Linked DNA regions of Oryctolagus cuniculus. The protein of the gene in region 1 interacts with the protein of each later gene in a pairwise test. Links are inferred from orthologs where the notes say so. Each region holds a gene or a part of one and is shown in the gene's direction. Other genes may lie near its edges. The genes, in order: KPNA3, ERCC3, TSSC4 and MAT2B.

Evidence for each region.
Region 2: the proteins of KPNA3 (region 1) and ERCC3 interact in binary tests that used the Homo sapiens proteins (3 or more experiments, as listed by UniProt). The link is inferred for Oryctolagus cuniculus from reciprocal best matches to the Homo sapiens genes KPNA3 and ERCC3.
Region 3: the proteins of KPNA3 (region 1) and TSSC4 interact in binary tests that used the Homo sapiens proteins (3 or more experiments, as listed by UniProt). The two-hybrid records come from large-scale screens. The link is inferred for Oryctolagus cuniculus from reciprocal best matches to the Homo sapiens genes KPNA3 and TSSC4.
Region 4: the proteins of KPNA3 (region 1) and MAT2B interact in binary tests that used the Homo sapiens proteins (3 or more experiments, as listed by UniProt). The two-hybrid records come from large-scale screens. The link is inferred for Oryctolagus cuniculus from reciprocal best matches to the Homo sapiens genes KPNA3 and MAT2B.

The regions. Positions count from the first base shown.
Region 1 is NC_091440.1:69,007,210-69,009,866, reverse strand, and holds part of KPNA3 (importin subunit alpha-4), read left to right. Parts: intron 1-1,053; coding exon 1,054-1,148; intron 1,149-2,168; coding exon 2,169-2,267; 3' UTR 2,268-2,657. UniProt on the Homo sapiens protein: Functions in nuclear protein import as an adapter protein for nuclear receptor KPNB1. Binds specifically and directly to substrates containing either a simple or bipartite NLS motif.
Region 2 is NC_091434.1:122,308,108-122,311,636, forward strand, and holds part of ERCC3 (general transcription and DNA repair factor IIH helicase/translocase subunit XPB), read left to right. Parts: intron 1-2,921; coding exon 2,922-3,040; intron 3,041-3,529. UniProt on the Homo sapiens protein: ATP-dependent 3'-5' DNA helicase/translocase. Binds dsDNA rather than ssDNA, unzipping it in a translocase rather than classical helicase activity. Component of the general transcription and DNA repair factor IIH (TFIIH) core complex.
Region 3 is NC_091432.1:1,158,992-1,163,037, reverse strand, and holds TSSC4 (U5 small nuclear ribonucleoprotein TSSC4), read left to right. Parts: upstream 1-1,479; 5' UTR 1,480-1,565; coding exon 1,566-1,611; exon of another isoform or gene 1,612-2,452; coding exon 2,453-2,532; exon of another isoform or gene 2,533-2,623; coding exon 2,624-3,454; 3' UTR 3,455-3,521; downstream 3,522-4,046. Other genes in the region: CD81 antigen, read left to right, coding at 107-193, 270-332. UniProt on the Homo sapiens protein: Protein associated with the U5 snRNP, during its maturation and its post-splicing recycling and which is required for spliceosomal tri-snRNP complex assembly in the nucleus.
Region 4 is NC_091437.1:50,261,338-50,265,699, forward strand, and holds the start of MAT2B (methionine adenosyltransferase 2 subunit beta), read left to right. Parts: upstream 1-1,547; 5' UTR 1,548-1,721; coding exon 1,722-1,784; intron 1,785-4,362.

The DNA.
Region 1 (2,657 bases):
GTTCTGTATTTTACATTTTACTGACTGCTTTGTAGGAATATTCTATCCATTTTTGAACAGAAAACAATTGCATCCTGGAATATTTAGTACAGATAGTGCTCTTTAGAGCAGGAAGAAATTATTCCAAGAATGTTAAGTCTTGTCCAAGGTGACAGAAATGTATAGTTAATAGAAGCAAAGTTGAAATCCATTTCTTCTTACATATTAATTCACTGTTTGTTACTGTTTTATGATGTTGCTTCTTTCTGTGAGAATAATAATTAGGATACATTTATTTAGGATTTTATGATATACTTTACATCCATTATCTTTGACAAATATTTTCCCTTTTTTCTGGTTTGTATAATACTATGTAAATGGGGAAAATACAGCTATAACCTAGTAAAAAAGACAGTTCAAGGAAGAATACTGCTAAAGTTTTAAATGTATAAACTTCAGCTTCTGATGCATGGAGTTAAGTGTATTGGAAATATATATGAAACCATTCTGTCATTATTGGTCTAAAAATTATTTCCCAAGTTTTATTGTAACTAGGTCATAAGAACCCTATTTACTTTTTTTAAAAAGAAGTTTTTAAAATTTAAAACTCTTTTCTTCTTTTTGTACCAGTTTTTGAGTTTCTAAAATGCTTTTATTTTTTTTTTTTTAAGTAATAGCATTCAGAAAGTAAAGAGGAAGACCCAAATTACTTTATGACATAGTATGATGACATTATAGCAGTCTGGAAAGACTTCAGATCTTACTGTCACTAATCTTCCCTATAACCTAAGTCTGTTGACATCTGTGTGCCACACTTTCATCTGTCAAATGGAGGGTTTGAGTTTTTCAGACTGCCTGCCTCAGGGACCAGGGTAACTCAAGAGCTTCTAAGGAAGAAGGAATTAGTGGCGTACTGGTCCCCAACCAGAGAAGCTCAGGTTTTTACCTGTTTTGTTTTTCTAATGACAAACTGTCATCTTTTGTGGGGTATAGGGGTGTCCAGAATTCCTTAGTATTTTCCATGATTAAAATGAGCACAGTTTTGATCATTGTCTCTTTAATTATTTTTATAAGGTTTGGAGAAAATTGAAGTTTTGCAGCAACATGAAAATGAAGACATTTATAAATTAGCATTTGAAATCATAGATCAGTATTTCTCTGGTGATGATGTAAGTATATATTAAAATATGTCTGCATATAAATTTGAACCTCTGTGAATTTAGTTTTCTTTTTATTTAAGGAAACGTAAGTTTTCTTAAATTTATATTCTATGTATATATACTTATGACTTACATTTATACTATATACTATTAAATACTCCAACCAGTAACTTCTTTTAAGTACTTTGAAAGTTCATTTTAAGATAAAATTATAGGCTGGCGCCACCGGCACACCAGGTTCTAGTCCCGGTCGGGGCGCTGGATTCTGTCTCGGCTGCCCCTCTTCCAGTCCAGCTCTCTGCTGTGGCTGGGGAGGGCAGTGGAGGATGGCTCAAGTCCTTGGGCCCTGCACCTGCATGGGAGACCAGGAGAAGCACCTGGCACCTGGCTCCTGGCTCCGGATCAGTGCGGTGCACCAGCCGCAGCGGCCATTGGAGGGTGAACCAACGGTAAAGGAAGACCTTTCTCTCTGTCTCACTGCCCACTCTGCCTGTCAAAAAAAAAAAGATAAAATTATAGAAAGTTCTTCAGGGGTTTTTCTACTTACTACTTTTTGAATTCTTTATTTAGTGGAGGATTAAGCTTGTGATTATAAAGTAAATTGAAAGTATATCTCACAAAAATTAAAAGGAAAATAAGAAAGGAAGGAGAGTGGGAAGTATCATTACATTCTTAAGCCGCATATATGAAATCTGTTCCCTTTATAAATAAATTTTAAAAAGAAGCAATTCTTGTTGCATTTAGAGTCTATTAACTGGGAATAAATAGAGATTATACAAATAATGTATAAATTGGTTAAATAAATCTACAGAGATACAAGAACTGAAGAAAGAGGCAGTTTTTAAATGTGTGTTCACTTTTGAGTTGTTATGTTTCTTAACAGAATTATTACTGGTTTACCCAAGTATGTTCATGTGGTTAAAGCATTCTTAGAAAATTCATTCCTAGGGGGTAAAAACTCAGTTCGGTTTATACAATAATGGTTTGGTATCATAACATAATAAGGGCATTTGTTCTTGCTTTTTATAGATTGATGAAGATCCTAGCCTCATTCCTGAAGCAACACAAGGAGGTACTTACAATTTTGACCCAACAGCCAACCTTCAAACAAAAGAATTTAATTTTTAAGTTCGTTTGAGTGCAGCATCTTTCCCACATCCAATACGAAGCACCACCAGATGGCTACCAAACGATAAGAACAACAGCAGCAAAAGGCTCCAAAAACACAACATGCCTCTTCTTTTGATGCTTCTAAAGCAAGCCATGTCTCAGTCACTTTGCAGTTGCCAAAAGTCACTCTCACATGGACTGTAAATGCATATGCATGATTTCCTAAACTGTTTTAGAATTCTCCTTAACAATCTCAACTACCCTATTTTTCCTTGTTCCCTGGTGCCACATGCTGACAACTGCAGTCTCCAGTTTAGAATATTCCATAGTGGTGGCATGTCAGCTGCCCACTGATACTCCTTTGGAAAATGGTGCGCTGTGGATCAAGACACTTTGGTATGATGCATA
Region 2 (3,529 bases), on another chromosome or scaffold:
ACTCTTTACCTGTGAAGAGCCTGGGTGGAGCTGGCAAGCAACCAAGTACAGTGGCACTGTTGCAAAGGTTTTGACTGGGGAGGGGCAGGCTTCCTGCACTCAGTAACTATAGTAACAGTGCCCAGACTGCCGTGGGGAGGCGCTTCAGAGACTGACTGCTGCCAGGAGATGGCCCCATCTCTCCTGCTGGGACCAAAGAGCCAGGCTTATCTGAAGAGGCATCTGGACTATTGGGATGTTTGAAAACAGGAAGGTTAGTGGGTATATCTTGAATCTGTACCTTACTCAGATGTTTCTAGGAGACAGCTCCAGGATTATACCTGAAATGGAAACAGGGCTAAAAGTGGAAATAGCATGGATTTGGGTACCAGATCTGCTTTGTGACCTTGGGCAAGTCATTTCCTCTGAGCCTTGGTTTTTCACATCAGAGTAGGGGTAACCATCTTACCTTGCAGGATTGATGGGAGGGTGAGCTTACATAGCATGGGCTACAGCTGGCTGCCCAGTGCACAGTTGTTTATAAACTGTCAGGATGTCACTGCTGACAGGTGTGCAGCCAATTCATTGCTTGCTCCTTAATCTTCTTAAAACAGAAGCAAATCTGATTTGAAAGCTCCTTTGAATTTGATTAGAATTACATTTTCTTACTCCAAGTATCCTTTTTTTTTCCTAAAGATTTATTTATTTGAGAGGTAGTTGAGTAAAATAGTATAAGAGAGACAGAAAGAGGTCTCCCATGTGCTGGTTCACTTCCCAGTGGCCACAAGGCCAGAGCTGTGCCAATCCGAAGCCAGAAGCCTCTCCCACGTCTCCCAGTGGATGCGGGGGCCCAAGCACCTGGGCCATCTTCCACTGCTTTCCCAAGCCATCAGCAGGAAGCTGGATTGGAAGAGGAGCATCAGGGACGTGAACTGCACACACATGGAATGCCAGCACCACAGGCGGAGGCTTAGCCTACCACGTCAGAGCGCTGGCCCCTCAACACAGTATCTCCTGAGATCAGACATCCGGTCCCTCTATTTGCCACTGTGAGCTGTAGGAAGCAGTTGATACAGCAGCAATGTACGCATGCTCTATCTGATGACATTTGAACCGTGAAAGTAAAAGTGTTCAGATTTTCCTGAAAGACAGGTATATTCTGTCCTAGTTTCTGTGATAAGTGTCCCTGTTACAGAGGCTTTCCTCTCTGAGCTGTTTTTTTCCCCAGCAGTTTTGTTGAGATAAAATTCAGAGATTATACAATTGCTTCATTTTGAGTATACGGTTCAGTGGTTTTCAGTGTATTTTGAAAGTGTAACCATTACCCCAATCTTTAGGATATTTTCCTCACCCCCTGAAAGGAATCCTGCTATTCAGTAGTCATTCCTTGTTTCCCATTCCTCTGCACCCCCAGGCCCAGGGACCTGCCCACCTGTCTTCATGGCTGTCTGGACAGTTTGGAAGTAGAGGCGTACAGATTGGGGCCCCTGTGACTTGCTGCTTTTGCTCAGCGTAATGGACTACCCATATTGTGCCAGTATCTCATTCTTTGTTTTTTGCTTATTTGAGAGAAAGAGCACCCTCCTGTCCACTGGTTCACTCCCCAAATGCCTGCAAAGGCTGGAGCTGGGCCAGGGCTGGAACCAGAAGCTGGGAACACAGTTTCGGTCTCCCACATGTATGGCAGGAACCCAGGTACTTGATTGCTGACTGCTGCCTCTCAGAGTCTGCATCAGCAGGAAATTGAAGGGAGGAGTCAGAGCTGGGCCTGGAACCCAGATAGTCTGGTATGGGACACAGTGTCTTAGCTGGCAGACTAAATGCCTGTCCCCCCCCCCCCCCCCTTTATTTTTTTTTGGACAGGCAGAGTGGACAGTGGGAGAGAGAGACAGAGAGAAAGGTCTTCCTTTGCCGCTGGTTCACCCTCCACTGGCCGCCGCGGCCGGCACGCTATGGCCAGCGCACCGCGCTGATCCGATGGCAGGAGCCAGGTGCCTATCCTGGTCTCCCATGGGGTGCAGGGCCCAAGCACCTGGGCCATCCTCCACTGCACTCCCTGGCCACAGCAGAGAGCTGGCCTGGAAGAGGGGCAACCGGGACAGAATCCAGCGCCCCGACCGGGACTAGAACCCGGTGTGCCGGCGCCGCAAGGCGGAGGATTAGCCTAGTGAGCCGCGGCGCCCGCCTCCCCTATAATTTTTATTGCCACATAATATTCTGTGTGGACATACCACATTTTATCCATTCATCTTGACTTTTAGGCCATTTCTACTCTTTGATTTTAGAATAATGCAAATCTCTGTGGATAGATCTTTAGTTTTCTTGGTCTTGCTTATATGAGTGTGCCTAGGAGAGAAGTTGCCTGGTCATGTGCTGGTAACTGTGTTAACTCAGCGTTTTGGTGAACTGCCAGGCTGTTTTCCAGAGCAACTGCCACATTTTACATTCTCACCAGAAGTAGATGACGGTTCCAGTCTCATGCTTGACCACAGGAATATGTCTTGCTTTTTACCTCTACTGTGGAAGTGGGAGTAGATGACAGGCCACATGTGTTTGCTTGCCTCTCCCTGATGATCTGTGGTGCTGATGTCTTTCCCGTGCCATTGGCCATTTGCACACTGTCACTGGAGAAATGTCTTTACATGCTTTGCCCGCGTTAGAGTTGAGTGAGTGGTCTTGTTGAGTTTTCACAATTCTTGACGTAGTCTAGAACAAGTACAGGCAGGTCCCGTACCGGATGTGTACTTTGCAGGTTGTCTTTTCTCCATCTTCATGGTGTCCTTAGCATGAGAGGCTGCCATTGTGATGGAGTCGTGTGCAGGGTCGAGGTGACCGTGGCTGCCTGCCGAGCTTCCCACGCCAGTGCTGCCCAAGAGCCTCTGTGCTGCGGCCTTCTAGTGGCTCCTGTTGTTTTCCTGACTTCTCTCACCTTCTCCCCACAGGCATGGTCGCAGAGGAGTACAATGCCTTCTTCTACTCGCTGGTGTCCCAGGACACACAGGAAATGGCTTACTCTACCAAACGCCAGAGGTTCTTGGTAGATCAGGGTTATAGCTTCAAGGTTGGTATCTGTGTGGCCTCTGCTGAAACCAGGACCAAGGCCTTTTGGGTACCCCGGCCTGCAGGAGAAGTGGGGACTGTCAGCAGCAGTCTGGGACAGCCCACAGGCAGGTGGTGGGCACTGGGATCAGAGGCCTTGCTGCAGACTCTCTTGGAGTGTGCATGAGTTACTGGGGCAGTGTCAGCTGGCACTGAGTCTGAGCGTCTTGGGGTCACTTTCTCAGGGGGTGCCCCTCCACATGGCTGGAAGAGCTCTCCCTTTAATCAGCTGTTACACCCTGCGACTCCAGGCCTCAGGGCCCTCTTACTGCGAATCAGCCAGTGAGTAGTGGGGAATTTTAAAGCTTTCACCAACTCTCATTGGCTGAGGCATTTGGTTTCCTTCCTGTTAACACATATACTGAGTTTATGGCAGGATTTAGTGTCCCAGAGGCCTTTATTTGTGACATGGATGAAGAGTCCTGGAAAGGAAGGAAAGAGCCTTTGTGGT
Region 3 (4,046 bases), on another chromosome or scaffold:
TCGGGTGGGAGCTGAGGTCGCCTCCCCCGCGTGGGCAGAGGCCGCCTAGCTGGGCCCTCCGGGGTGCCGCCAGGGCAGGTGGGAGCTGAGGTTGCCCTCCCCGCAGGAGGACTGCCACCAGAAGATTGACGAGCTGTTCTCGGGGAAGCTGTACCTCATCGGCATCGCGGCCATCGTGGTGGCCGTGATCATGGTGAGCGGGCAGGCGGGCGGGGGGGGGGGGGCCGCCCCGCCCCGCCGGCCCCCGCTGACCGCCCCCCTCCCGCCAGATCTTCGAGATGATTCTGAGCATGGTGCTGTGCTGCGGCATCAGGAACAGCTCCGTGTACTGAGGCCGCGCTGCCCCCGCCGCCCCCGCCGCCTGTACAGAGCCACCCCGCTCGCTCCGCACGCAGCTGCCGGCTCTCCGGGCTCTGCGTCTCCCCCGGAGCCCCTGTGGCTGACGCCGCGTGCCAGGGGCACCTGCCGAGGGGGGCCGGGCCTTCTTAATCCTGTTGCTTTCCTGCCTGTTCCGGGAGCACCTGTCCTTTCTAACGTCACCTTCAACTGTAACGCCCGCAGCTGGACACAGTCTGTAATAAAGGAGGAGACATCGGGCATGCTAACGCGCTGGCCGCCGGTCCTGGCCGGTGGGGTCTCAGTGGGTGGGGCGCTGGGGACAGAGGGGTCTGGACTGTGCCGAGCCCGCGCGGAGCGGACGGGACCAGGACCCAGGGAGCGTTCCGCGGGTGACCGCCCCTGGGGCACACCGGGCTGCGGGAGGGGGCGGCCGGGCTCCGGGCTCCCTGCGGGCAGCAGGCCCCAGGTCTGCTGAGACGTGGGTGGCCCCCCGGGCCTCAGCAGCATCTCGGAGCAGCCAGAGCAAAGGCCCCGCCTCGGCCTGGACAGCAGCCAGGGAGGACTGAGGCTGGCCCTGCGGAGGGCGGGGGCTCCTGCTGCTCCCAGCCCCTGGGGGACAGGGTTGCCTGGGAGAACTAGGTGCAGCGAGGAGTCCCCTCCACTCCCCCCGGGCCGTGCTGGCCCAGGCTGGCCTCTGGACGTGCAGGGCCTGGGGCCCCGGGGCTGCCAGGACAGGGTGGGTGTCCCAGAGGTGCCTGGGCCGTGCATGACCCGCCTGCTGTCCGCGGCTGGCCCCCCCGGGGTCCTTAGACGCCGGTCTCCCCGTGAGTGCCAGGACAGCAGGCCCCCGCAGGAGAGGGACTCAGGAGCTGGGGTCTGGCGGGCACCGAGCAGCCCCAGCAGAAACGGGGGCAAAAGGCGCTGCCCACTTGGGGCCTGGTGGCCAGCGAGAGGCCTGTCTGGGAGAGCCCGGGGCCGGACCTGCCCAGGATGGCCACGCCCAGCCCCGGCTGCCTGGGCCGCTGGGCAGCGCTCCGCGCGCCTGTCCCTGAGGGCCGGGGAACCGGAGAAACATCGTCAGAGGCTCCCGACGTCCAGCGCAGCCCACAAGCTCAGTGGCTGCCAGGCCCGCCCCGGGCATTGACGGATGGACCCGGGAAGGGGCAGCGACTTCCGCTTTCGGAAGGCCGGAAGTGCGGGCAAGGGCTTCTGCTCCACCGTGCGCGATGACGCACTTCCTGTCTACGTCGGCTGCTGTCTCCGCACCTCCCGGTAGGTGGCACTAAAACTCCGAGAGGCCTGCGCCTCGCCGTTAGTCGAGCATTCTGGGAGTGGCGGTTGGCTCCGCCCCTTCCTCCGTGTCAACGCTAGGCCTTTTCCGTTTCCGGAACCCGCTCCTGGCGCAGGGCTTGGAGGTGTAAGGAGAAGGGCGTGGGCGCATGCGCACTGGGGCACACGTCCCGTCAGGGCTCGGGAGCTGAGGCCCGGTGGCTTATGGGAGATGTAGTTCTTCGGTCGCGGAGGCCACAGTGCGCGGCTAGCGGGGGACTCGGTTTCCCAAAAGGCTGAGCGCGGCCGGCGGGGAACCCGAATGAAGGCGGCCGGCACGAGGAGCCGGTAAGTCCGGGAGGGCCCTCTGCGCGGCCGCCCTGACACGGCGAAGGTGTGCTCTGCTCCGCGGCAGAGGCGGCCGGAGGCAGCTAGAGCCGCTGCCCCTCGGCCCGGTCGCGGGATCCCGGCCTCCCCAGCCCAGGGCGCGCTCGCCGCGGTCCCTGCTGGGCCCAGCGCTCCTCCTGCGGCTGCTCCGCGGGAGGAGGTGCTGCGCCGCGCCTGGGTCGGCCCGAGGCGGGGAGCGCCGTGTGGAGGGTGCGCCCGGGCTGTCCTGCAGCCAGCCCCTCGGGAGCGCGGGTGGGGGTCGTGTCCGGGGCCGCGGGGGCGGCCTCTGCCCAGCAAGGCCGCTCGAGCTGACCCTTGAGCGCGCTCGCGAGCCCGACCCCGCCGGGGTGGCCGCGGCCCGGGCCCTGGGGCCCAGCCCTGGGCTCCGCCTCGTCCCAGGCAGCTTGCGGCCGGCCCCGCGCTCTGACGCGGGCTCTGTCCCCCGCCCCTCACCCAGCCCCGTCTGAGCAGCGGAGCCGAGGCCACCGAGGAGCCCACGCCGGGGCCACCGAGGACCTCCGTGGGCGGACGGGGGAGGTGAGAGCCGGGCCGGGGAGGGGCCCGCTGCTGCGGCCGCGTGGGCCGGCGACCCTGAGCTGCCCCCTCCCCGCGGGCTGCTTCCCCGCAGGTGCCGTGGGACGGGGCCATGGCCCAGGCGGGGGCCGAGGGGGACGCCGCGCCCCCCGACGACGCCGACTTCCCCAGCGACTCGGGCTCGGACTCGGACTCGGACCTCAGCTCTGGCGGTGCCGAGGCGGCCGCGCCGTGTGTAGACCTGCCCGCGGACTCAGAGGACTCCGAGCCCCCCTCGCCGCCCCCGGCGCCCCCCGCCCCTGCGGCCCAGCCGTTCTGCCTCCGGGGCACGAGCTCCGCCTTCTCCCGGCGCAGCCACAGCGTCTTTGACGGCCTGGAGGGGGCGGCCGGCGCCCCCAGGGGCCCGCGTGTCCCCGACTACGTGGCGCACCCGGAGCGCTGGACCAGGTACAGCCTCGAGGACGTGGCCGAGGCCAGCGAGCAGAGCAACCGGGCGGCGGCGCTGGCCTTCCTGGGCGCGCGGGGCCCGGCCGCCCCCGCCGCCTGCGCGCCCGCCTTCAACCAGGACTCCTCCAGCTGCGGGGAGGGCAGGGTGGTCTTCACCAGACCGGCCCGAGCCCGCGAGCCCAGGCCCGAGAGGAAGAGGGGCCTGGGGCAGGGCGCGCAGCCGGGCAGGGGCCTCCCGGGGACCGAGGCGGTGGAGCTGCCCCACCTGGCCGGGCCCGGGAGCCCAGAGGCCGAGGAGAGGGGCGGCACCCCCGGCGGCCTGCAGGAGGAAGACGCGTCCCCCGCGGCTGCCCACAGAGGGGCCTCGCCAGGGCCCCCCGGCCTGGACGCCGTCGGCTTCCACGGCGCCAGGAAGCGGAGCCGGGAGCACTTCCGGAACAGGGGCAGCGGCTGCGAGGGCCCAGCGGCTGAGGGGTGAGCGGGCCGGGCCGCGGCCGGGGGCCCGGGGCTCCATGGGTGACAATAAAGGTGTTGGGTGTCCTCGGGTCCTGTCTGTCGTCTCACTCCCCCTGGGCCCCCAGCCCCGCTCGGACCCTGCAGAGTGACGGCCCCAGTGTTCCGCTTCTCTGGGTTTTTGTTTGCTTTTAATTTTGAAAGATAGAGAGGTCTTGCGTGCACTGGTCCACTCCCCAGAGAGCCGCAGTGGCACAGGGGCCGTCTGCTGCTCTCCCAGCTGCAGCGGCAGGGAGTTGGGTCAGAGTGGAGCAGCCGGGACTGGAACCACACATACAGGAGGCGGCTTTACCTGCTGCGCACAGTGCCGGCCTGGAGGGGCTGAGGGGTCCCCCTGGGCTGGGGTCAGGCCACAGGAGTCCAGCATGGTGCCGGACAGGCCTGAGTGGTCCTGTAGCCGTGCCCACGCTCGCCTCTGGCTGTGCCCCACCCAGACTGTCAGGACGGGGTGCAGAGCCGGCATCTGGGGTCTTGTGCCAGGACTCCAGCCCAGCATGGGCCATGGGGGACAAAGGGTGGGTTCCCCAGGTCTGCTGGGGGAGGCCCACGGAGCGAGC
Region 4 (4,362 bases), on another chromosome or scaffold:
CACGTCACACAAGATAAGGCTGCTCTGAGAATCAAAATGATAATTGTATGTGCTTGTCCATAAATTCTCTTCATGTTGAGCACTTTTTATTTCTCTAGAAAGACTCTTTGCATTATACCTAGCAAATAGAAACTGAAAACAGAATTCCCGGTTTTTAAACAAGAAGGATTAAGAAGATCTTGGGTCCGGTTCCCCTTCCTCCTTTATCTTGCCCTTCTCTTTGTTGTCTGTTGATTATGCTACTTTAGTGCCCTGGGCTCTCTCAATGATTCCCTAAATAATGCTAAATCTTTGATCATCAAAGATCCAGCTTAAAAAAAACAATAGAAAAGGAGGCTCCTGTACTGTTTCAAAGAAAACTTTTTTGTTGATGTGAATAAGGAATTCTTAGTTGGGGGTTGGGTAGAAAGGAAAAGTCACGGGCTCTGGCGTAGTTAAATTTTTCCAAAGTCTCTACCATTTTTGGTTTATTAGACGGTGGTTATGAAAATAAGGCCTTCTTAGGAAAATCCTAGCGGCGATCACGTTTGTGGGCGACTTACAGATCTCATTATTCCGGGGCCCTAAACAAGAACAACGTAGCCCTTCCGTGGAAGCTCGGCCAATTCTAAGCCTAATGAGCTGAGGACTTTTTTCTGGGTAAATTTCAGAGGCATACCGGCGGGCGCGGGACATCTTGCTATTTTTGAATGACTGTAAGAGAGGTCACTTGGGTACTAGGCTGGTCACAGCACACAGGGCTATCGCTCCTTACTTTTAGAAGGCGATACAGGCAGCAGAACGCCCGGCATGTCATCCTACCCTTGGTTTTTCCTTTAACCGTGGGCGCTCGCCCAGGCTGCGCTCGCTTAGCCGCAGGCTGCAGCTGGAAGTCGGTGCGTCCCGCAGGGTGCTCTGGACTCCTGCTCGATCCACCGAAAAGGAGGTCCCTGGTTCTGCCACCAGTTTCTCATTCTAATTATGGGCAAAGTCCAAGAATGTTTGCTTTGAAGAGGTGCCCAGAGATTTCATATTTCTCTCCCCCTACACCTTTTTATTTTTAATTAGTTAAATATGGTGCCATAGTTTCGAAATTTCACACATACTTTTTTTGAAGCATCCCAGAAAGACGAATAAGTTGCTGAGGTGTGAGTGACTCAGATAACACTTTTATTTTTATTTTATTTATTTTATTTTTACCTCTTTCTAAAGCTTTCAACAGCCTACGGGTCTAACGATCCATTTTTATTGTGCTTCCTCCCTGCCCCCTCACCTCCCCTGACTTTAAAAATGCTTTATTCTACTTTAGTATAGTACACGTACAGTTGATTCTTATGCACTGCGTATTAGTCTGAAAAGTTAAGACTCTAGGTTATCCAATTCAATGTTTCCCCAGTTAAGAAGAAAAAACGAAACAGAAGAAAAAACGAAACAGAAGAAAAAGCACGTATACAAACAACATTTGCGTTCTTTGCTTAACTTCAGCGTCTTTGTTTTGTGTATCACTTTAAGACTTGGCGCGTGGGCTGGGGAGCGTCCCCTGAGCGCCCGCCCGCTTTCTGTGACGTATCCAGGGCGTGGCCAATCAAAGGGTGCAGCCAAGGCAGCGGAAGCCGGAAGTGGCGAGCTGGGGTCGGCTACGGCCTAGAAGAGGCGGGCCGAGGGCATCTAGTTGAGGCCCGCGGCAGTCCTGGGCTGTAGGAGGCGGCAGCCGCTCGGGCGGCGTTGTGAAGACGGCGGGTATGGTGGGGCGGGAGAAAGAACTTTCCATTCACTTTGTTCCTGGGAGCTGCCGGCTGGTGGAGGTGAGGGTTTGCCTTGGTGGTCTTCCATGGGAACCGGGGTAGGGGTTGGGAGCCCAGAGGAGACGAAACAGGTCCGGGAGGTTCGGGGCGGTTTTCCAGGCGCACCCCATCGGGATCAGCGCCCCGGCCGGGAGTCGTCTCGGCGTCGCCCTCGCAGCCCTGGAGTAGAGGGCGGCGCCACCGAGTTTGTTTACCTCGGCGCACAGCAGCGCTGCGGCTTTTGGGTCGAGGTTTTACTTTTGAGTTCTCAGTCTCTGCTCCCACCAACGAAGAAGGAGATTTTACAGTTGTTTGCGTTGTGGTTCTTCATTGTTAGTTCGTGATTTTACAAGTTCTAGCTTTGAGAAAGGACGAAGGAAGGTAGCTCTTTGGAGGTAACAGTGCTGGAAGTGATAACTTGCCGAAGTCCTGGTTTGTGCAGAGCTCTACGCTATGGATTTTGCAACCATTATTTTAATCTTCATAGCTGTAAGATACATTTTATAGGCGATAGAAGGGAGTCAGAATAAGACAATTGCCCGAGTTCATTCGGTGAGGTTGGAGCGAGGGATTCGTGGTCGACTGTCTTGGGCTTTGAACCACTAAAGCAGTAGCATTGAAGGGAGACTATCTGCGTGTTAGGGAGCTCCATCCATGAGGTCCTCCCCACATCCAGCACCTCCATTGCATTTCAGGCCTTCCAGCATCCAGAATATATCCAGCTGTGACCATAACTGCTAATGTCCAGACCTGTATGTCTTCTGGATATGAGATGGTTGTTTTAAACATGCACTTTTTTTTATGCTTTCAAAGTTTAATGAATTCAGTGTTTTTAAATCGTCTTGGTTCTTTAAGGTAGAGTTAGGATAGATGAGCTGTCTAACCTGTATTCCTGCGAGCCCCAAACAGTACCAGTTCATCTCTTACAGAGTGTTTACATATGTATGCGCATGCATGGCTCTCTGTGTGTTTGTGTGTGTAAAGCTTAATCTGCTTATACAATAGAAGTTCAGTAAAGGGAAAATGGCTTTTAATGGTTTCCTTCATTAAAAAGGATAGATCTAAGAGCTCAGACACATACTACGCTCTCAGAACCCGTAGTGTTAAAACTCATCTTGTAAGAATGAGGACTGCCCGAGGATTAATGTCAAGAGAAGCAGCTGGTGGAGGTGGCTGATAGGGTGACAGTAGAAGTTAGAACAATCCTGCCTAGGTATTAAGGAATCTTAAAGTTTATTAAAGGCCAGGTCTACCTCCTGGGAATCTTGTGAGAATCCACTTAAAAAATGACTATGAAACTTTGCCAAATTTATAAGTTTTTTAAAATATACTACTAAAATTAACATTCCTTTCCAAATATTACTGATAGTCCACTGTCTTTTAAAACATTTTTTGAAATCTTCTTTTTTAGTTTATTTTAATTAATTCATTTGGAAAGTTAGAGTTACTAAGAGGGGGAGACACAGAGATCTTCCAGCCACTGATTGACTCCTCAGATGGCCGCAATGGCCAATGCTGGGTCAGGCACTGGCCAGGCCGAAACCAGGAGTTTTGTTTTGGTCTCTCATGTGGGTAACAGAGGCCCAAACACTTGTACTGTCTTTTGCTGCTCTTCCAGAGCATTAGCAGGGAGCTGGGCCAGAAGTGGAGCATATTGGACAAGAACCAGCAACCATATAGGATGCCAGGTCTCAGGCAGGCAGCGCTATCTGTCATGCCACAGCACTGGCCTGGCTAGAACGTTTTTGATAGTTAATGAGCTAAAGTGGAAATCACTGTCCCAGAGCACTGTTGGACCATTTGGACAGCGTTTGTCTCCCATTATCTTTATGAGTACAATTTCATATAAATTTTTTAGCACAATATGAACAGTAGCTCTACATTGATTTGTCCAATAATTTTCAAGAAAATTTTGGTATCTAAAAATGTGATTGCCTAAAGTGGTTGAATTCCATACAACTAAGTTTATACAAAAAGAGACAGGTACATTTAGAGTACCTTAAACTTGTTGAGTATACTTAATATAACAGAAATTGAGAAAGAAGAATTTTCACACAAGCATTTTGAATTTTTTATTGTGGTTTGGATGACCTAGGCAACTTTTTATTCTTTCATTCTGAGTCTTTTGGAATGTTTGGATATTCCTGTGTTTTGAAGGACCAAAATAAATTCTAGGAATGATTAACCAAAGTAATTTTTAGAGGAAACTTTTTATTCCTAAGCTATTTATATACAAAACCCAACAAAACAGTGTACTAAAGAAAACTTTAGGCAGAGTTCTGTTTATATAGAAACAAAATTAGAGACATTTTTGTTTGGCATCTCTTAATTTCAGAGTGTTGCATATTCTATTTGGCAGCCACGATTAACTTAAGATCAAACTAAGAAATAAAAAACGTGTTTCTGCTGTTAAATAGATGGCAAAAGGTGCCCTTGTCTCTAGGGAGAAGTGTGAAAAGGACGAACAGTTAAGTTACTTAAGTAAGTGAAGCCCTTTTTATCCTATTCAGACCCTTTGTTGTAAGGATAATATAGAAAATTTTAGAATTGTAAAACTTTAAATATGGAAGAGTGTTGGTCATCTTGTCCATTTACCCAC